Linked DNA regions of Kluyveromyces lactis. The protein of the gene in region 5 interacts with the protein of the main gene of each other region in a pairwise test. Links are inferred from orthologs where the notes say so. Each region holds a gene or a part of one and is shown on either strand. Other genes may lie near its edges. The genes, in order: PEX11, PEX19, STE20, PEX21, PEX13, PEX2 and BNR1.

The links.
Region 1: the proteins of PEX13 (region 5) and PEX11 interact in a protein complementation assay, tested with the Saccharomyces cerevisiae proteins (2 studies listed by BioGRID). The link is inferred for Kluyveromyces lactis from reciprocal best matches to the Saccharomyces cerevisiae genes PEX13 and PEX11.
Region 2: the proteins of PEX13 (region 5) and PEX19 interact in a two-hybrid assay, tested with the Saccharomyces cerevisiae proteins (4 studies listed by BioGRID, with this or other methods). The link is inferred for Kluyveromyces lactis from reciprocal best matches to the Saccharomyces cerevisiae genes PEX13 and PEX19.
Region 3: the proteins of PEX13 (region 5) and STE20 interact in binary tests that used the Saccharomyces cerevisiae proteins (3 or more experiments, as listed by UniProt). The link is inferred for Kluyveromyces lactis from reciprocal best matches to the Saccharomyces cerevisiae genes PEX13 and STE20.
Region 4: the proteins of PEX13 (region 5) and PEX21 interact in a two-hybrid assay, tested with the Saccharomyces cerevisiae proteins (2 studies listed by BioGRID). The link is inferred for Kluyveromyces lactis from reciprocal best matches to the Saccharomyces cerevisiae genes PEX13 and PEX21.
Region 6: the proteins of PEX13 (region 5) and PEX2 interact in binary tests that used the Saccharomyces cerevisiae proteins (3 or more experiments, as listed by UniProt). The link is inferred for Kluyveromyces lactis from reciprocal best matches to the Saccharomyces cerevisiae genes PEX13 and PEX2.
Region 7: the proteins of PEX13 (region 5) and BNR1 interact in a two-hybrid assay, tested with the Saccharomyces cerevisiae proteins (2 studies listed by BioGRID). The link is inferred for Kluyveromyces lactis from reciprocal best matches to the Saccharomyces cerevisiae genes PEX13 and BNR1.

The regions. Positions count from the first base shown.
Region 1 is NC_006041.1:177,014-179,486, forward strand, and holds PEX11 (Pex11p), read right to left. Parts: upstream 1,206-2,473; coding exon 501-1,205; downstream 1-500. Other genes in the region: DNA replication protein PSF3, read left to right, coding at 2,218-2,473. UniProt on the Saccharomyces cerevisiae protein: Involved in peroxisomal proliferation. Promotes peroxisome division and biogenesis.
Region 2 is NC_006041.1:441,699-444,338, forward strand, and holds PEX19 (Pex19p), read right to left. Parts: upstream 1,404-2,640; coding exon 501-1,403; downstream 1-500. Other genes in the region: E2 SUMO-conjugating protein UBC9, read left to right, coding at 1,748-2,221; SYO1 (Syo1p), read right to left, coding at 2,564-2,640. UniProt on the Saccharomyces cerevisiae protein: Required for proper post-translational import and stabilization of peroxisomal membrane proteins (PMPs).
Region 3 is NC_006038.1:1,190,256-1,194,391, forward strand, and holds the start of STE20 (mitogen-activated protein kinase kinase kinase kinase STE20), read left to right. Parts: upstream 1-1,336; coding exon 1,337-4,136. Other genes in the region: putative ubiquitin-protein ligase UFD4, read left to right, coding at 1-575. UniProt on the Saccharomyces cerevisiae protein: MAP4K component of the MAPK pathway required for the mating pheromone response, haploid invasive growth and diploid pseudohyphal development. Links the pheromone response G-protein beta gamma subunits to downstream signaling components.
Region 4 is NC_006041.1:1,384,491-1,387,222, reverse strand, and holds PEX21 (Pex21p), read right to left. Parts: upstream 1,422-2,732; coding exon 501-1,421; downstream 1-500. Other genes in the region: TDA11 (Tda11p), read left to right, coding at 1-297. UniProt on the Saccharomyces cerevisiae protein: Receptor that mediates peroxisomal import of proteins containing a C-terminal PTS2-type peroxisomal targeting signal via its interaction with PEX7.
Region 5 is NC_006041.1:1,756,182-1,759,034, forward strand, and holds PEX13 (peroxin PEX13), read right to left. Parts: upstream 1,728-2,853; coding exon 501-1,727; downstream 1-500. Other genes in the region: KLLA0_E19713g (uncharacterized protein), read left to right, coding at 1-181; MMR1 (Mmr1p), read right to left, coding at 2,246-2,853. UniProt on the Saccharomyces cerevisiae protein: Component of the PEX13-PEX14 docking complex, a translocon channel that specifically mediates the import of peroxisomal cargo proteins bound to PEX5 or PEX21 receptors.
Region 6 is NC_006040.1:37,093-39,738, reverse strand, and holds PEX2 (ubiquitin-protein ligase peroxin 2), read right to left. Parts: upstream 1,236-2,646; coding exon 501-1,235; downstream 1-500. Other genes in the region: NUC1 (ribonuclease), read left to right, coding at 1-448; KLLA0_D00396g (Zn(II)2Cys6 transcription factor domain-containing protein), read left to right, coding at 2,377-2,646. UniProt on the Saccharomyces cerevisiae protein: E3 ubiquitin-protein ligase component of a retrotranslocation channel required for peroxisome organization by mediating export of the PEX5 receptor from peroxisomes to the cytosol, thereby promoting PEX5 recycling.
Region 7 is NC_006042.1:1,002,513-1,006,626, reverse strand, and holds the start of BNR1 (formin BNR1), read right to left. Parts: upstream 2,801-4,114; coding exon 1-2,800. Other genes in the region: POT1 (acetyl-CoA C-acyltransferase), read left to right, coding at 3,787-4,114. UniProt on the Saccharomyces cerevisiae protein: May organize microtubules by mediating spindle positioning and movement in the budding process. Potential target of the RHO family members.

The DNA.
Region 1 (2,473 bases), about 1.6 Mb from region 5:
TTTTTAACAATCTGCTGTATTTCGAATACCAGATCAGATTAACAACCGGCTTTTCAATGAAAAGAACAGAATGAAATAATCCCAAAGCGATTAGTCTAAATTGAGGAATATCCACCTATAAAAATAGTGGTGATGTTATCCCGCAGAAGCAATGAATTACGAATAGAAGTGCAAGAGTAGCCGCGAATATGGTGCTCGCTTAATGTCCTCGATGAAATGGAATTTCAAGTAGTTTTCAACAATTTCAACTTTGAAGCCTGTCGAAAAGTGTAAACATCAACAAGTGCGGGTAACATTGGTATTAAAATGATGAAACAATGGTGATAGTATATCCTAATAGCTGCACAGACATCTAGTTAATACGGAGGCATCATCAGAAATTATCCCGGTACCAGCTGAAATTACAATTATCAACATATCGAGTAATATGTTAAGTTGAAAGAAGATACATATAAATATATATATATATATAAACTAAATTAAAGGGAAGGAGAAGTCCTTTAAGCAGTCTTCCAGACATCTTGTAGACCAAAGACGGATGTAGCGACACCAGCCAGGGCGACACTTGATTCGTCATTACGCAAGAATTGCAAGTTATTTAAGACAATGAAAGTATCGATAGAATCCCAGATTAGTCTTCTGAATGCGGCGAATCTCTCATTGTAGTAAGCGGTCAACTTTTCAGAACTAGCCTTTTCGGTTGGTGCATTGCCCTTAGAACTCAAAGAGGCTTCGATCTTTCTTTGAGAAGTGTACAACTTACGGACATCGGTGATCAAACCAGCGATCAACGCAACGAACCAAAACCAGTTTGTGTAACGAGGAACTTTCTTGGCAGTAATAGGAGTAGCTGGGATTAACTTTAGGATGCGCAACAAGTTAATTTGATCCAAAGTTAAATACCCAACATAACCCACATTTTTGATTATGGACAACCATCTAACCCATTGATCTGGAGCAATCTTGTTATCGTATAATTTGGCTGCGTCCTGGATATGATTCAATGGCTTGAAGAATCTCAAAATCTTTCTGACAGACGTGAATTCAGATTGTAACTGTCTATTCAAACCAGATCTGTATTGAACGGCAAGGAATCTAACCAAGTACTGTAGCAATCTCAAGATCTTTTCTCTGCCGGCTGTTTTATTCAACAAAGAAATGAATTTGGTCAACGTAGGATGATAAATAACTGTGTCTAAAACCATTTTTGTTTGTAAAACTTATAAGTTTAGATGTGGAAGATGACTCAGGATAACTGGCTCAGTATTTCAATTGATTTCTGAAGGAGGTAGAATATTGGAAACAGTATATTCAAACAAAGCACTAGAGAGAGATTGTATCGCAGGTGCAACGTATTTCAACAGAGTCTGATGAGATAGGAATACAAGGAGTAGTGAAAATGCTTAAAACTGCTTGTCTTTATTTTCAGCAGTCATTTTCTACTTTATATATAAATATATATATATATATATAAAGTGTGATGTTATACTTCATATGTCAATGGGCATAGATCAAAGCAGGGTCAACAGAAAATAGTCAGGCTCTACGGTAAAAGGAGAGGATTTCCACTTAGCAGCGAAACGTACTTTATTATCAACTTCTTTCGGGTCCCCCACAAAAAATGGGAGGGACAAGTCAGAGCTGCGAAGTTACTAGCACGGAAGATCCTGCTGTATTAAGGACATTTGTACCGGGGGAAGACATGCAACAATAGCAATCTTACTAGGTGAAGACTGGGATCCCGGGAAAAAGGGCGACATAATATTTAGTATGTAGGCGCACATTTTTACGTGTATTTCGGACCAAATGTCCTTCCGCTAACAGCTTGAAAAGGATGGCCCGATTTGTTCCGAAACTCGAGAAAAAAAAAAGGGACAACGAGAAAGCCATGTATGCGAATCGTGTACAGTGATATAATGACGATTTTGTAGTGTGCAAGCATCAATCACGTGATTTATATCATCGAGATGCATTTCCTCTCAACATCGCGAAACACGTAAAAAAGAATCGTTAACTAGCGAGCGATGTCTTCTGCTTTATAATACTGCGTTCTTTTCTATTGTTTACATTTAGAGCCATCAAGCCCAAACCTAAAATCATTTAAAGCATTTGTATATCTCATATTGAAGAAACGCCAAAAGTAAGATTACAATTCCAAATACCAGCCTATATTTTGCCGGTTCAGCTTCCTGAGAATCGCCTTAGATTTATGCCGAGATGGGATACTATGATATAGATGATATACTGGCTGATGGTACTAGATTTCCCTGTAGATTCAACTATGACGTTCCTGGGTTGGGTTATCTGGAGGGAAACCCAGGCAGACCAATATCGAAAAATGCAAAACTAGAGTTACCACTTTGGATGGTCCATCTTCTTGCTGTAGTGGGTGCGCAATCTAATGAAGATTCTAGAGTTGAAGAACCTCTTCCTTTTGTCGAATTGCTCCCGCCTGATTTATTCGCTCCAAGAG
Region 2 (2,640 bases), about 1.3 Mb from region 5:
TCACTATGAAACAAACTTCGTCCAAAATTTTAACATGGTTTAAGAAGGTAGATCAACTCTTTCATATTCAATTTTCTTTTATTTTGGTTTTTCCATGCTCGAACATAGGACTGTGACAAAAATAGAATACGAACATTCCTCAATTTATTTTGTAAATATGCGAACATATGCATGTAAGAACAAACATGCTGTGTTAAAGAATGGCTAAAAGAAAGGGTGCTCTTTGAGAGGGAAGTGTCTAATGGGAGATACTCAGAAGAGTGCACTGTCCCGTATACCTTATGGCAAAAAGTTGTCACATATATTCAATCTTGCATAGTATATTGGTTATTATTGGTTTAGAGCTAGTCTCGTGATTTCAGTCCTCAATATGAATTTCAAAGTCGAAAAGAGAAAAATAGCCATATTATTCGAATATCATACTAATAGGCAAAGAGTGAAAGAAATAGAATAATAGTTTATTATGATTAAATATTATATTATGAGCTCATATACACATTTTATTGCTGTTTGCAGGTATCTTCAAGGTCTTTGTCGATGTTACCTAGATTTTCATCTCCTTGTATTTCCAGCATCTTGGCTAATTCTGACATATCGTTTCCAGGATCGTTACTAGTTCCCTTTGCAACCGGTGAGTCACCGAGTTGCTCTAGTTCATCCAATAGATCTGCGATCTCAGCATGGTACTTTTCATTCGTATAATCATCGCTTTCGAATACACCGATGATCTGATTCACAAGTGCATACTGTTTCTTGTAGTTATCAATCTTGTCGCTGTGTTCGGGGTCTTCTTCGTGTAATCCCATCCACTCGGTGAATTCTCCCTGCATTTGTTTCATCGGCTGATATAGCACTTCTTTAGAAGACATTTGTGAAAGCATTTTCAAAATGGCATTGTCCATTCCTTCTCCGTCCGTACCGTTGCCATCGCCGTTTTCCACTAGTTGATCTAGCAATTGGGAAAGAATATCGTCTGAGTTCTGATTTTTCTTCTCTTCCTCCAAACTTTCATCCACTTTCGTAGAATTTTCTTTCAATCTATCTAGGGTGTTGGAAATGATATTCTTGAAACCAGTACCGCTCTTCAATTGCTCCTGAACGTGTTTTACACTGTTATGGTCTTTCTCCTTCGATGCATCTCCAAGTACAGTTAGCAATGTCTCGAAATTCTGAACCATTTCTTGGTCAGTATCACCGCCTTCCTGCTGCATCAATTGTTGGAACTGTTTCTGCAAATCTTCCATCATCTCGACTACTTCTGGATCATCGCTCTGCGTAGCAGGCTCACCCTTAGTAACTGCCTCATTTGGAACAGTTTCTTGTTTTTCCTGTTCATCCAGTTTGCGTGGATCCTCTAAATAGTCATCCAAATCATCAAATTCGTCAACTTTGTTGTCTGACATCGTTTGTCGAAGTATCTGATTACTATCCGTTGAAATTTTGGTGGTGCGTAGCCCTTACTATTAATTATACCTCAGTTAAGGTTTCTTTAGTCACTGTCAATTCTGAAAAATATCACTTTTTCTTCAAAACACTATTGATGCTTTTTCTACAATATCAAAATCATCTTCAAAATCACAAACAAAAAGACGTATCGCACGGAATATCATATCCTCCAATTATTCAACAACGGTAAATCTGAGTTAAGGCTCTATTTACAACAGGGCGCAACGTACCTTAATATATTTACGGTATCTGTATATTAAAGCGACTCGACGATCAGAACGGCCGAATAATATAAACAGTCATGAGTAGTCTTTGTCTACAGAGGTTACAAGAGGAGAGAAAGAAGTGGAGAAAAGATCATCCTTATGGGTTCTTTGCCAAACCAACTAAAAAGACAGATGGATCTATGAACTTGCAGAAATGGGAGGCTGGTATCCCTGGAAGAGACGGCACTCTCTGGAAAAATGGTCTTTATCCTTTGACCATTGAATATCCTGATGACTATCCGTCAAAACCTCCTAAAGTGAAATTTCCAGCAGGATTTTATCACCCTAATGTTTATCCCAGTGGAACCATTTGCTTATCAATCTTGAACGAAGATCAGGACTGGAGACCTGCTATCACCTTGAAACAACTCTTACTTGGTGTACAGGATCTTTTGGATTCTCCGAACCCTAACTCACCTGCGCAAGAGCCAGCTTGGAGAGCTTTCTCGAAAAACATTAAGGAATATGAGAGGAAAGTCTCAGAACAAGCTCTTAGGTATACCAAGTGATACCTCCATAATACAACTTCGGAAGTAAACCATTTACTGACAGAGAAAATGCAAATACGCAGATGACGGCAGATATCAACTTGCGGGAAACCCTGGGCCTTCCCCAGCGTAAAGCGCAAATCAAATAAATTTGCTGTATTCTATGGCTCGATTTATTCTACGGTGTTGACCATTGTTATATGGCTGTATAGAGATATATCATAGGATGGAACGATCCAGTAGGTGTATAGTTCTCGTGTAAAATTTAAAATTAATATCAAGAATAATGCTAATGAATACTTGATTTATTCAATTATTTTGTATTTTACTATTATCAGGTGTAGACTGTATATATTTATTGTTTTATTTGTTACGTTCATTTTGTTTGTATGCAATAAAACTATCCAATGTAGAAAAGCAATCCTGACATCTTTCTTTCA
Region 3 (4,136 bases), on a different chromosome or scaffold from region 5:
ATATAGAATTGTTGGAAGGTGGTTCGAAAATCTTAGTTGAATCTTTCAACGTGGAAGAGTACTTGATTCGTGTCTTTGACCAATTTTTGGGCAAAGGCGTAGATATGCAGCTCGCTGCCTTCAGGAACGGATTTTCGAAATCATTCCCTTATTCATCATTGCTAATCTTAACTCCGACAGAACTATCCGATTTGTTTGGTGCAGTTGCTGAAGATTGGTCTGTGCAAACGCTATACTCATCCATTCATGCAGACCATGGCTACTCGATGGATTCTCCAATCATAACAGACCTCATAGATATTTTGTCGAATTTTTCGACACAACAGAAACGTTTGTTCTTACAATTCATCACTGGCTCTCCGAAACTACCTCTTGGCGGTTTCAAAAACTTAAAACCCAAATTCACAGTAGTCCTGAAGCACCCAGATGGGAACATCTCGGCAGACCATTGCCTACCTAGCGTTATGACATGCGCCAATTACTTGAAACTACCAAAATACTCTGATAAACTGGTACTCAAAGATCGTATTGCACAAGCAATGACTGAAGGTTCCGGAGCCTTCCTATTGTCATAGAATATGTATATAACTACATAGAGATGTCTGTAGATCTAACCATACTCCACCCTAACTAAAGATTTCAATACCACATACTTTCGTGACATGTGACAGGATTTACTCTTTGGGATTGGCGAAAATGTTGAAACTGAAATTTAAAGCTTAAGAGTTTAAACAAACGGAATGTAAAGATCAGATGGTATGCATGTTTATAAGCAGATTAGAGAAACGAGCAAGCTCAATTGTTGCTTTAACTGTGGCTTGTGTTAGAACTAGGTTTTAAATTTTATTAATCAGGCTATCTCTGCCGATTTGACAAGTATTTCAGAGAGTAATACCAGGTAATACCATCTTCTTTTGGATCTTTTTAATAACAAGCACACATTATTTGTTTGTTTTGGCGAGAGTGTGATTTTAGCAATCAAAAGACGTTCGTTACACTGAATTACACAACAGGCTCTCGTTTTTAAGTTAGAAGGAGGTGAAGGTAGAAAGAATTTTACAGAGCACGTTTTGTCATTTCTTTCATTGTTTATCTGACTTGATCTTCTATTCTTTGAACAAAGTAATCTAGCTTTTTTTCTGACAGAAATTAACACGGCCACAGCAGGCTTTGTTACTGACGGTTGTATGCTCTAGAAATCATTACAGACCTGTTTGTGTTTTTCGGAATACCTTTCCTTTTTGTTCGGTCGATAGAATTAACCACAAGACATCTTTTGACACAGGCCTTTTTTTTTTGATAGAAGCTACTACACTCACTACTTTGTCTCCATATAATGACGGATACTGGATATACTGAAGAATTGTTACCAGGCACATTTGATGCGCTTTCCGTGAGAGAAAATGGTGGCAATACAGAAAGTGACACCAGTAGCATACGCAAAAGTCAAAATCAAGATTCAAAACAAGAGGATGTACATCGTGAAAATCTTTCAGTACAAACTCTAGAGGATCATACAGAAGTAACGGAGACTAGGGAACAATCTGTCTCAAAAGATCTCTTTGATTTACCTCGTGCACCAGCGAGTTTGGATGTGAAAGGATTACAAGAATCAGACGAAGATCATTACGTCAAAGACCTTTCAGATTATAAATCTATGGATCCAGGGAAACCGGGCACCGTACCAACAAATGTTTCGGAAATTTTTAATAGTAACCAGCCAACTTTGGATGAACCGATACAATTTACAAGAGTCTCTTCCAGTTCTGTGTTAAGTGAAAGTATATCGGAAGGTGATGCAGATTTAATATCGCATCTAGAAGGAAAAGTGGAAGAAGGAAATAATTTGACTTCGAAGGAGACGCCAGGGACAATTGAATCTATTGTTGGAGATAAGACGATGTCAACTATAGAAGGTTCCTCCCAAAATATAGGTAGAATATCTACTGGCGGGAGGATGACACCTGATCTCTCTCTTATGGGCGGGGCCCTGGAAACTTCTTCTGACTTCCTAAATTCCACACAAACCTCAAATTCTCCAAAGATTACAACACCTATAACTGAAGTTGATGCCAATGATGTATATGAGTCCCCGCTAAATGAGATATTATCATCTACAGATAGTTTCAACAAGGCATCGACAGCGTCTGCAGATCATTCGAAACACGTAAGTGTGCATGAAGTAATACCTGAAGAAGAACCACATCCAGAAACAACAAATGAGGATCCTCCAATTAAAACTCCCGTAATGGTGAATAACTTTTTCGAAAATCAAACACCAGTATCAGAATCAAGATCCCCCTTCAGAACCATTTCTTCTCCGTTTTCTTCTCTGAGGAAAAACGTTAAGAGTCAGCATGGGACGCCTGACCACTCCCAGAGGAATTCTAATTCCTCCACCTCCTCTAATGATGTTAAGAGGAAGACCGGTACTAAGAAGAAAGGTGTTTTCTCAACATTCGTTCAAAACATCAAGAGGAACTCACACTCAGAGAAAAGAATTTCTAGCGGAAGCGGTAATGGAAGTGGAAATAATGCATTTAAGATCTCTACTCCTTATAATGCTAAGCATGTTTATCATGTAGGTGTTGACTCCAAAACAGGGGAATATACAGGGTTACCAAATGAATGGGAGAAACTTTTAACTTCCAGTGGCATTAGTATGAAAGAACAACAGCAACATCCCCAGGCTGTGATGGATATTGTAAAATTCTACCAAGATGTTACTGAAAACTCTGGAGAAGAGAAAGTCTTCAAGACTTTCAAAGTAGGAGGTGGCTCTGGTGCAAACATTGCATCTACACCTTCTTTCAGAACCCCATCAACTGCATCAGTACAGAAGTTCGAAACTCCGCAAATGCAAACAGATGCAACTTTTCCGAATGAAAACAATGATACCCCATACTCTAGTAACTTACAGGGTCCGCTGCTCACTAACGATTTCAGTGAAACTGTGAACAACGAAAAGTTCATACCGACTCGGCCTGCTCCAAAACCTCAAGGTTCCTCCACAGTTAGCCGTAGGGTCGAAATCCCTTCACCAATCAATTCGCTTGGCCATGGAACACCAAAAGTGCAAAGAAGTGATACTCAGTCATCAAGCATTTTCTCATTCAAGAAGATGCCAACATTGAAAAGTGAGCAACCATTACCTCCTATTCCAAAGGCTGCAGAAAAACCAGCAAATTTATTGCCTGCAAGAGCGGCTCCTACTCCACCAAAACCTGCAATTCCTACAACACCGGAACAATCCTCAATACCTGCAATTCCTTCCGGGCTTGCTGTGGAAGTGAAAGAGGAATCGAATACTTCTAATGTCCAGACAAGAAAGGCCCAGGAAAAAAAGAGGGAAGAGAGGAAAAGAAAGAATCAACAAATTCAATCAAAATTAACCGAGATTTGCACAACAGGAGACCCAAGCAAACTGTACAAGAATCTGATCAAAATCGGACAAGGTGCATCAGGAGGAGTTTACACAGCGTATGAATTGGGCACAAATGCTTCAGTAGCAATAAAACAGATGAATTTGGAGAAACAACCCAAGAAAGAGTTAATTGTGAATGAAATTCTGGTCATGAAAGGAAGCAAACACAACAACATTGTTAATTTCATTGATTCATACCTATTTAGAGGTGATTTATGGGTTGTCATGGAATACATGGAAGGTGGTTCGTTGACTGATGTCGTTACGCACTGTATATTGACTGAAGGGCAAATCGGTGCCGTCTCTAGAGAAACACTCAAGGGTTTACAGTTTTTGCATTCAAAGGGAGTCATTCATAGAGATATTAAATCAGACAATATTTTGCTATCCATGAACGGAGACATCAAACTAACAGATTTCGGTTTTTGTGCTCAGATTAACGAGGTAAATTTGAAGAGAACGACGATGGTTGGTACTCCGTACTGGATGGCCCCAGAAGTCGTATCAAGAAAAGAATATGGACCAAAGGTTGATATTTGGTCTCTTGGTATTATGATCATTGAAATGATAGAAGGTGAACCACCATATCTGAATGAGACACCACTAAGAGCTCTATATTTGATCGCTACCAATGGTACGCCAAAGCTAAAGGATCCTGGAAATTTAAGTCATAAAATGGCTATGTTCTTAAATTGGTGTTTAATGGTTGATC
Region 4 (2,732 bases), about 370 kb from region 5:
ATTATTCAGGGGACCGTTGAAACGAAGTTAGGATTAGGCGACTCGGGATCCAGTGCAACTGAAAATCAATCAGAGGGCAAGCCAAAAGGTGACGACAATGCGGGAAGTGCGATTTGGTCCTTAGTAAATGAGTTTAAAAACGGGCTTGGGTTACTAGCAACAGAGGAAGAAGATGCTGATGGGTCTATAGGCACGATAGCGACTGGTCTTGCTACCAATATGGAAGATTACGGCACAAGAAAGGCAGAATCATCAACTCAAGCAAAAGAGATTGAAATGTATCATTATAGTCATTAAATAAGATTATTTTTGGAACTAAGCTTTAGCTAAGTTAATCTAATATTGGGAAGTAAGTAGAATATGGTGATCCTGCCAGGTGATTTTCCACGTGAGTGTAGAGTAACTCTAACTCAATATGTATCGACAAAATAACAGTAGATCTGACAACAGAGAAATACCCCTCCACTCATACTTAGTAATACCATTTTATTTTTTTTTTTTCAAACGGAGTTATGGTACACTTTTGCAGCGGCTTCCGATGAACTCATATTAGATAAGTCACCAATGGAGTCCAAGGGGTCGCCTAAAACACTATCCTGCACTGGGAAATACTCTTCGCCAAAAGTTTCACCGGTAGAAGGAGAATATAATTCCGTATATTTATCCTCATCTGGGTTCTTTTTCAGAGTTATTACACCATCGCTGATATTTCTCATGAGTCCAAGGAACTTGGAGTTCGAAAATTTCGAACTAGTTGTAGATGATTTATCTGAAAGAGTTGTGTAAATGGATTGGGCTGCTTCTTTTAATTGGCGTTGATCTTCGTCTAGAGGAGACGTTTCTTTGAGATGGAAATCGTCATCCTTGTCCTGTTGCTGTTCTTTTTCATCGTCTTGCACTTGTCTTTCCAGTTCAGCAAATTGTTCATCGAGCTTCGCGCTACTACTGGCATACGCTTGTGACTCGAGTTGGTTCACCATCAGAGATTGCTGATGACGCGGGAACATTTGTGAATGGGACACCATCACCGGTGCACCCATGGAGTACGAGGCGCCACGCGCCTCGTACTGCGAATACATCTGTTTATAATCTGTTGGGAACTCGGTCTTGTCGTGCACCTGCATGTTTGCGAACTGATCGATCCAAACATGGTGATCAGAGGCTGTAGCAGTATTACTAGTAGTACTGGCTGCAGTAGTAGCGTTAGCAACAACAGCTGCCATAGGCAGCTGTTGATGCTGTGGATGAGCGAAACTGGGACCCGAGGCACCAGTAAACTGAGAGAACTGGTGGTCTAGTGCATTATTTCTTGGTCTGCTCTGCTGCTGTGCGATGCTCTGTTGGTGCTGATTCGGCTGTCCGAACCTATAACCAGACTTCGAAACAAGAGTGTTCAAAGGATTCGTTTGACACACTGACATGGTATTATATTTCTTGGTTGGTGGTAGTCTCCTCGAGCAACAGACATAAGACAACTAGTCCGCAAATCATCGAAACAAGCAATGTACAAACTTTATTTATATACATATATATATATATATATAATAAATGCAGAACCTGGACGAAAGAAAGAAATTATGAATAAAGAAATGAAACAAGTTCAGACCACTAACGGTTGAAAGATGTGGAATGGAAGTGAATAAAAAAAAAAAAAGTGAAAGAGCGACAGATGCGCAAACCCCCCGGGTAACAGTGAGGCTTTCTATGGACTTCTGAAGACCAGTACTGGCACTTCTAGCCGATTGAGGAAGCTATTAGATGAGGGAACCCAAAAACAGTACGTAAGCAAGTGGAGAGGCGGTAGTTCGGTCGAAATGGAATAATCATTTGACATTTTGATAATCTAAAAGACGATTAGTTGCATAATGAATGCCGGTCGGGACGGAACGGAATTTTTAAACCCCGGGGGAAAAGGAAAAGGAAGGAAGAAAAAAAAAAAAGAATGCTTTCGGACATTCAACTCTGAGATTACATAATACCATCCACGTGACTACGTCACGTGGATGGTATTATGTAATCAGTGTATTTTCTTTCCTTACCCGGCCGCCACCCGTCACTCAGCCGTTTCAGCTCTTCCCTTGCCTGAAACGGCGGAAATAAACTCCGTCGTCGTGCGACACCCGCAAAATCGGGCAAAGCACAGTGTGGACAATGAAAAAAGGGGTGCAGCAAGAGGTGGGTTTTTTTTCCGCGTTACCCGGAGATCATTCCCAGGTGTTTCTTAACTCAATATGCCAGTAGTTAAAGGAAGAAAAAGAAATAGAATCTGTCATTGCCAAAGGGCAAAGCCAATTTGAACAGGCAATTTAGTAGTGAACAGGGCAGCGAAAGCTGCCCTGTTCACTCGTATGGCTTAAGTTCCTTTATTCGAGCCAAGGCATCAAATTTAGGTATCACATGGCTGGGTACTGTACCGGTTAAATTAATTAAGTCAGTCATCGTGTATTTCTTTTCGATTGGTGCCAGATGAGTCGCCCATTTATTGGTCATTTGTCAATTTTCCGTTGCATCATTAGAGAAAGAGAATATATTGTAATGATGAAAAATTGATGTATAAACGGAGAATATATCTTGATACCCTTCCTGGGTTCAGTATCCAATTTTAGATAATTATATAACAGTAGCTGAATATTCAGATTAGTTTATAGTTATCCGGTATCATTCAGCAAGGCAAGAACCGTTTTTCCTCCGGCTAAGTCGTTGCTTCTTCACCCAGATTTCAGGTCCAGTTT
Region 5 (2,853 bases):
TATGACAGGGCAGGATGCCAAGGAAGCTGCTGACACGGCTTCAAACAAGGCCAGCGATCTTGCAGAGAAAGGTAAGGAACACGCCCAAGCCAAAGGTAGAGAGGCTGCTGCCAAGGGTAAGGAAGCCGCTGCCAAGGGTAAAGAAAAACTGGAAAATGCTGCTGACAAACTAAACGAATAAAAATAAGGAATGAGATGATGATAAAGTCCGGAATGTCGATGTCCTCTTTTCCCAATAAACCAAATTACCTGATCCTTTAAGCAGCAGGGTGACAATAAACGCCCTTGTGCTAATATTCTAGCATTCCAAATGCCGTATCTGGGGTTCGAGCAATGGAATAATAAATGTGTAGTAACCACAAATACATATATAACGTGAAACAAGAGAAAAATACAACGTAATTCTTCTTAATACTTAGTCTGAAACTTTCTGAAGCTATCACATCTTTAACTTAGCATTTGTGACCCGCCATATTCAATTCTTGTCCATCACCATGTAATCACTGTTGATTCTGTAATAGATGGTCTACCGAGGTTGAATCCGCCAGTTCTTCAGAAGTATTCGATTTCTCAGATTCAACAGGTACGCCATTTTTCCTTTTCTTAATCAACTCAAGATAGTTGTATGGAACGTACCCAATATTTCCTTGTTTTGTTCTGACTTTCCACCATTCAGAGTTATTTCCTAGTGGATCTTTCTTGGAAATGATTGCCATTAGATCTCCTTTCTTTAAGTTACATTCAATTCTTGGATTCTCAGGAACGAAATCATAGATCGCTCTTGCAAATTCTAGGTTATTAGGATCTAAGATTTGTTGTGCCATAGCGCCGCCAGCTATTTTGGCTTTTTGGTGCTGTTGTAATTTCTGAATAAATTTGTTCAAAAGGTACGGGAAGCCGAACACAGCTGCTAAAAACACAATCAATGGTTTCCATGAAATTCTTCTACCCTTTTTCTTCGTCAGATCTGAGTCCCTGAATTCTTCGATAAATTGTTTTGAAAGATCTGAGCCCTGGCTCTTTCCGCCCTCTATCCCTAAGCGCTTTTTGGAAGGCGCTACTCCCATCTTACCACCTGTAACTCTGTACAAGATCTTTTTTACGAATTTTATCAAGGCAAATATACCAAAGAATGATCCCAAAAGCTCCTTCATATATTGAAACTGTTCCGCAACGGTTATCATAGTGAAAAAAGAGTTATGGGTAGCCATATATGTAGCTTCTAACATCTGGGCGAAACCAGCAACGGCTCCTATAAGCCCTTCTATTAACTGGAAAGTTGCCTGTGTTGACTCTGCAATCCCCGAGGGTCCTCCATTCATACCGTTCATACCGTTCATCCCATACATTGATCCGAACCCTCCCCCATACATCGACCCTAAACCACCGCCGTACATCGACCCTAAACCACCACCATACATAGAGCCATAACCACCTCCGTACATGGATCCATATCCACCACCCATGGAACCCATTCCATATCCTGTACCTAAACCTCCACCATACGCCGAACCATATCCAGACATACCATTTCGAAGAGGGTTTCCCCCGTTCAAAGAATCCATACCCTCATTTAAACCGTTCGGTTTGGATGGTAAGTCAGGCTGATTACCAGATGGTTGCAACGCACTGCTATTCTCAGTAAAACTGGCATCAGTTCCTAAACTCTCAACTCCATTTTTCTGCTCCCAGGGCTTCGGTCTGGAAACACCTGCCGATTGTGACATGACTACTGATGCTCTAATAAATATGAACTTCGATCACAGCACTTAATAGAAGCCAAAACCGCTACAATCGATGTGTATTCATCACTGTCGTTACCTGTATTTAAGCTCCACGACATGATTCAATGTTACTTTTAGAATCATCGTCAATCTTTGAAATATGCTTTGGCCGGGTAACAAGTTACTATTTCCTGCGTCGTGACTTAAAGACAATAGTAGATATCGTCTTTTCATCAGCAATAGACGATATCTTTTCCACGAAGAACCGTTGGATACTTGAATGAAAATCCTTATTTCCTTCTTTTAAATATTTTGTATTTAAATTGGTTCCGAATGACACGCATATTATGTATATATGTATCCTTGTTATTATTGAAAGAATGTATAAAAGTTCGAAATGAAGCAGCTGCAATGTGAGTTGAATGTATCTACTACAAAGCTTTATCAGCAGCATTGGATAGTTGTAAATATTGAATCGAAAATGTTGTCCGTATTATGCTTGAAAAAAATTTGTAATTATCTTATGAAAAGTCCTTCTTGTGTTTGCTTTCTTCTAAAGAAGTTAATTGTATGCGTAAATTGAAACCATGCTGTAGTCTCGTTGGATTAATACTCCCCGATAATACCTCGCCTTCGTCACAATCTAATGTCGTAGTACTGTTATGAGCGGTAGTGTTGTCGGGATCGCTGATATGTAAACTAGATTCATCTGGCTTACTCTCCGATTTGGATTCAGCCAGCGCGTCGAGTTGTTCAACTGTTAAGTACTTTACCCTGTTTTTCCTTGGGCTCAGTCTGGATTCCAAAGCCTTCTGAATTCTTCTGCATTTAGCTAATTCTTTCTCTAGCTCTTTTATCTTTCCTTCAACAGCGATCTTTACTAGTGCATCTGATTTGAATGGTGGTTTATTCGATATATTCTCCCGTGACCTGTCTGAATTGTGAATTATGAAGTCTGTATTTGATATTCTTGGTAATTGTTGTATATGCTGTAATAACGAGCTGCTTTGGAAGGTCAAGGACTCATTTGCTCTCGTTAAACTATTGTTGATATCTTTTAAATTCTCGTTATCCAAATGCAATTTATCGTTATCCAGTTTCAACTCATCAATCTTCAGTTGAAGTTTCT
Region 6 (2,646 bases), on a different chromosome or scaffold from region 5:
TTACTGGGCACATTTGGAGTATTTCTGCAGACAATTAGTCGATAAATACAACAGTGTTCGAATTATGACAGGTCCCTTATACTTGCCGAAGCGAGACCCCAAAGACGGTAAGTTCAAAGTCACATACGAGATGATTGGAAATCCACCTAACATTGCAGTCCCAACGCATTTTTTCAAGTTGGTCGTGGCTGAAAGACCTAAGCAGCTTGGAAATGGTCGTGATGATGAGCTGCACGTTGCCGCATTTGTCTTACCAAATGCTCCTATTTCGAACTCTACAACATTAATAGAGTTTGAAGTACCCGTCAATGCATTAGAAAGGAGTTCCGGCCTGCAGCTGTTGCAGAATGTTCCAAAGGAGAAGAAGAAGGAGTTGTGTAAACAAGTGCGGTGCGAAATAACTGTAAGAGAGTTTAATAATACTGTTTTAGCATTGCCTGGGAAGTAATAACGTATATAGATTTGGCCTAGGTGTGAATATATAGGGTATAATAAACACTTTAGCAAAAGAATTTTGGGTTCTTAGTATTACAAACTAGGCAATGTGACTGTTCCACTTCCAACGCACAAGTGTAGCAATACCTTGTATTGCAGCAAGTGATTGTAAATGCATTTGTAGCGACCTCACCACAAACAGGGCATAAAGTATTCTTTTGCGAAAACTTCTCACCAGGGGCCCCAACTGAAGAACTACCACCGGCAATAGCCTTTGCAGCTGCCACCGCAGCTGCGTTAGTACTTGTCACAGAAACGAATCCGTTTTTAAATAACGATAGACCAGCTATCATCTCAATGGAAGCATTCCAGAGCATCTGAACCTCAGATGCTGATGATCCTGAAGTAGTATCAGAATACGAGAATCCCGGTTGGAACACTGCAGGGACTCGGAACAATCGATGCAAAAGAGAGGGACCACCTGTACCCGACGTTAAAAATTGTAAAAGATGGATCAAATCTAAAAGTTCGTAAACCAAATTGGTCCTTTCAAACCGATGCAACAGATGTCTTAATACCACGGTAACAGCAAATAACCGCCAACGAGAGCATTGATAGCCAACACCAGTGAGAACACTACCATATGTTGCGACACTACCCTGATGCCATCGCCTACTCCCAAGTAAGAATACCAGAATTTCAACAACTATCTGCGGACAAGGAAAACCCAAATCCGATTGAAGTGCCCTGGTGAGCTGCAGATCAAGTGAAACTCCATCTAATTGAGCAACCCTTGACATATTCGGATCGACAGATAACGTATTGCGCTTAAAACACTCACTACCCTTCGTTACTTAGTGTTAGCAATGAAATATTTCACCGGTACAAATTGCAAAATAATAAAGCAGCAGCGTGACTTCCAGATAATAAAACACAGTACCTATCTCTCTTGATATAGATAGATGTCTCACTGTAATACAATCGGACAGTATGGATACCAGGAACTATGAGACCAGGGCTGCGATAACTCCGAAATTATATTCCCCGTTGTTTGGATGGCCTCCAGTTTATCCTTACTTCGAGGGCATTTTTTTTGCTCTTTGTACTCGGTACTTTTATGCCAAAGGCTATTCAGTTATTCGTTTCGTACGTATCTGACTGAGAGCTTCTACCGCGGAGTTAGAGAAAAATCTGCAAGCAAAAAAAGCACAGTCAATCAAACAAGGAGAATGCAGCAGAAAATGCTACAATACTTTTTTGGGCCGTAGGCTTCACGTTTTGATCTATTAAAGTGTGTCTAAACGCCGCAGCGCAGCTTACCTGAGCTTATGTGATATACACCGAATAGTCTACAACATCCGTTTTTGTCAAGTGAGCCTTTTCGGTCAATATTGGGAAGCAGCTTATTATACGGGGATGCTTTTACATACCGCACCGGTAATATACCACAAAAAAATATCGGACACACAGGGTTATGGACTGGTTCCGTCAATCGCAGAAGGGTTCGGTTCAGAGCCTGGTTCTTTGTTTGTTTGTTTTTTTGCCTGCTAGTGTCATCAACGGGGAATTACTGAGAGCCCACCTTAAGGGCCATTAGGACTTTCTGGCAGTTTTTTTAATCTCCTGTTATTTTGAAGTTCGAAACTCCAGAGTTTTTCCTCGGTTAAAGCTAATTCTAGGAGATGAGTTACTTTATAATGCTTTAATTACATTTGCTTTTCGATATCAAGCCATCTATATGTACATAAATATATATATATATATATATATATATGGATGTGAATGTAAGTGTATGTATAGATATACGCGGGCACTTGCCAGTGGTTGTTGGGATAACGCGCAGATTTCATCCCATTAGTTCTCTGAGTGCCGCTGGCAGATACTGGCTACCATCCGTTCGTACCTCTGCGTGCCCCAAATTTTTTTTTCCTAACATTAAAAATGCTCAAACCGTTGCGGTCTTGTACCAGATGCAGAAAGAACAAGGTAAAATGTGATTCTGCAAACACAAGACCCGGTCCTTGCACTGCCTGTTCGAAACGTGGTTTGGTGTGTACGCTGGATTACGTCGTACCACCGCGTCGGTCTGATGAACTTAAAAAGCTTCATCACAGTGTCTCATGTGTCAAGGGAAGTGTCGAACGGTTGTTAAAAAGTTCAGTTGTATCCTCAACGTCCATTGATGATCAAAACGAGGAAAATGCTTATAGA
Region 7 (4,114 bases), on a different chromosome or scaffold from region 5:
CATAGGGTTCGAAAGATCTAATTATACTTTGGGGGATAGTTTCGAAGTCATCCTTGTTAAAGAACTCAAGAACGCTATGATTCTTGATTATATCATCGTCACACCTTAGTACTTTTATCAAAAGGTCTTCAACAGAATATGAAGAAAACATATGTAGGTTGATTCCAAATTGTTGAGCCAGATCCCTTGACAAAAGAGAAACTTTTTCGTTCTTCTTACTAGCTGTAACGTTGGATTTCTTCTTCATTCGAACTGCCTTCTGTTCAAACAAGTTCACAATCTCATTAAAGACACCCTTTTCATTTAAGTCCTCCTTTAAGTCACTCCTAGTTGTTGGTTCATTCCAAAGTGTGTCACTAATATCCTCTATCTTGTCCCAATGAATCTGCTTCAACGGTTTTACCTCTGGTTTAGGCTTAGACACGAATGTCACATTGTTAGCTAGAGGTAATGGTGGAGGAGGAGGAGGAGGCGGTGGAGGAGGAGGAATGCCGTCTGTTGGTTTTCCTGGGAGGGTTTCGTTTGGGAATGCAACTGATAAAGATGTATCTTCTACTGTGGATTCCTTGTTCAGGGATGACAGAGTTGATGGTAATGGTGGAGGCGGAGGTGGAGGCGGAGGTGGAGGCGCGACATTTGACGAAGCACAGGAAGCAGAACTAGTTACTAGGGCCGGTCCATTGGTCATTGGTGAGGTGAAGGCTTCTATACTTTTCAGTTGAGGCGGTAAAGGTGGTGGTGGAGGCGGCGGAGCCGCTGGTGCTGCAATAGAAGCAGGAATCACAAATGCTGTTTGGGCTGATGGAACTTCTGTGGTCGTTGCTGATACTACATCATTACTGGAAGATAGTTTTGGGAGTGCTGATACCTGATGGAATATGTCGTTCTTGCGTGGATATATCGGAGTCACTGGAAGGTCATCGTCAGAATTGTTATTCAAGATGTTATAAGGGGTAGAGTGCGGATATTTTGACTGAGGTTTTTCATTTGCAACAGTGGATAGCGATGCTATACGTTTACTTTTTGATAAGGAAGTTGATCGTTGAGTACCAATAAGCGGTTTATGTTCTTTTAAAGTCTCAAACAGTGACACAGAACGTTTTGGTGTATATTCTGCTACATCTCTATGGGCGATAGTGAGATCCAACTGTTTCTTTTCTTTCTTTAGCTGATTTTCTACAACTTCCAATCTGTCTTGCAATTCTTCTATTCTTATTTCCCTTGATTTCAAAAGTTCTTCTTTATTTTCTAATTTCTGCAGTAGATCCCCTTTGGAAACCTGTTTGTCTTGTAGCAATGTATCCAATTGAAGTTGTATTCCATCAAATTCTTTCTTCTTTTCATCCAGTTCCATCATTGCTCTTTTGGCAATTTGATGGGATTGTAAGTTATCCATTATATGATCTAGTGAGGTCATGAAAACTTGTTCCGTGTTGGTTTCATCAAAGCTACCATCCAAGGTATGTTCGCATAGATAGGTTAGAATAGAATTGAAAACATAGAACAGTTTTATTGAACCTTCCGTTGTTCTTTCATTTACTAGCTCCAAGATCGTTTCTATAATATTGCAAATAGGCGTTTCTAACGGCGTATCTTTAGTATATTCGATTAAACTCTTGATTTGAGGACCATAAGATATTTCACTCAGAAACTCATTTTTGAACTGTTTGTCTTGCACCTTCAATTCAAGTTCGATATACAGGTCTATGTCCTGATTCAAAGCTGATGAGTCTAAATCCTTCATTAGCCGGAAAACCCGGTGTATTCCAGCTCTCTTCCATCTTTTGAAACACGCCAGTTTTAGATCATTGGAAGGCAGAAGTTGTTGAATGGATTGAACCAGTAACAATGTAGATATAGAGTAATCTACGAGCAATTCTTTTGGTTTTGGAAGAATTAAAGAGTTGTTAAACGCATAATCCTCCGGGTTTCGAAGAGTCATTTCTACTGCCTGGATCCAACTTTCGTAGCACAAATCTAACGATTCCAACAAAGAATCTGACCATTCAGTGGAATATGTCAGAAGGATCACAATTTGGGTAGATAAAAGACGAACTCTAAGGTCAGTTGTGAGCGTTCCTAAAAGGCAGAAGACGTAAGTTATCCAATCATTATTCTGGAATATCACAGATCTTGCTGAAGTATCGTTAAGCAATGCTTTATAACAGCATAAGTACACGTACTGGGATTTTTTATCCAATAAATCAATGAACCCATTCAAAATCGAAACTCCGTTTGCATTCACAAACAGCGAAATAAAATCAGCATGTCGAAGTAAACGTTCCAATTGATAAAGTGTTTGAGTAACCGAGAATCTCTTATTCAAATTGCTCAAAATCATATGTAAAGTATTCAATTTTGAATCGTCTTGCATCGTTATATCACCATGTAGTTTCTTTTCCTTCTGAATCAATTCCCATTTACGGGTATACGACAAGCTTTTCAAATTTTGCTTAGCAGTACCTAGAAACGCATGTCCATTCAATAACTCTTCAAACTTGGCATCAATTTCTTGTTCTGACGGTAGCTGAGTGTCTGCTAAACACATTTTATCCGTTTTAGAAACATGTCGCGTAGAATCAACGTTCGGAGTTGAAAAGTTGTGTGATTTCATGTATCGCAGGGTCTGGGAGCGAGGTTTGAGCCCTGTTCCTACTAGATTCAGCCCTTGTATTACCAGATCATCGTTGGAATCATTGCTAGAAAACCTGGTCTTGGCATTTGCAGTCGGAGCATTAATGGATCCAGATCGAAGCGGAAACAAAATACTAATGGATTTTTCATTCTTATCAACAGTCATTGGTCGGTCAAAGTTTGTTGATTTTCAGTTGCAGAATTATAGCCAGAAAAGTGATTTGATACTCATCAATACAAGGAAAACGCGATCATTCAATAATGATCTGGGAGATAGCGAAATAATTTCACTAGATAAACGCTTGTACAAAAAACAATTTGTCAAAGAAAACGATTAATTCTAATGATTAGCAAAGCTGATTGTAGAACAGTTTTAGACTCTCTTCAAGTGTACGTATTTATGGATTTCCTTTGTGTTACAAAACATGTGTACTAAATTTCATACGCTTTTAGTGCTTCATTTTGTTACGTTCCTTAATAGATGGATCAAAAATTAAAAAACGTAAACAAAAACAGGATCAAAAGCTCAGAAACGCACTTTGGAAAGGAAGAAGAGACCAGAAGGAAACAGTACGCGACACGTGAAACAATCTATAGATACTAGTCACGTGAGTTGGATCTTCTTTGCTACCCGGGGTAAGTTTTTTCAACTTGGGGGTTACCCCGCATGCGACGTTGGTCTTTCATTTTTAGGGTATTTCATAACGAAAACCGGAATTAGTGTGACAATGCCGATCTCCAATTCTACGACATAGCCTTGAGCAAAGGCAAATTTGAGACTGTAGTTAGATTAAGTCAGGATCATTGTTAATGACATCGTGGAGCTCCGTAAAGTTTCTGCTTTTCAGTGTTGATGATTAACTGCGAGCTTAATGGCCGTGAAGAAGGGATGTATGCGATCATTAAATCCTCTTTAACATACTCCAAAACGACGGCTGGTTGGTTCTGCTCATTGTTCGTTATTCCCCATATTTATTTTAGCGAGTGATCCCTTTGACAAATAATTTTTTGTATAAATTACGTACATAAATGTGTCATGCTGACATTATTCCTTTATCACTGACTTTTATCAGATGAATTGATTGACAAGTGAACATCATAGGGCAAGATATAAGTATACTACAGGCGAGTACAGTCAATCAGAAATATAATATGGCTAGCAGACTTCAACAATTAGAGAAACATTTGACAGGACGCAGTTCTGAAAAGGATATAAAGAGTAAGAATCCGGACGATGTGGTTGTTGTAGCTGCGTATCGTTCAGCTATTGGTAAAGGGTTCAAAGGAGGATTCAAAGATGTTAACACGGATTATTTACTTACACAGTTTCTGAAGGAATTTTTTGAGAAAGTTGACATTGATAAGAGTGTCATTGAAGAAATTGCGTGTGGTAATGTGTTGAATCCCGGTGCAGGTGCGACAGAACATAGAGCTGCGATGTTAGCTGCTGGTTTGCCATATCAAACTCCGTTAGTGGCTA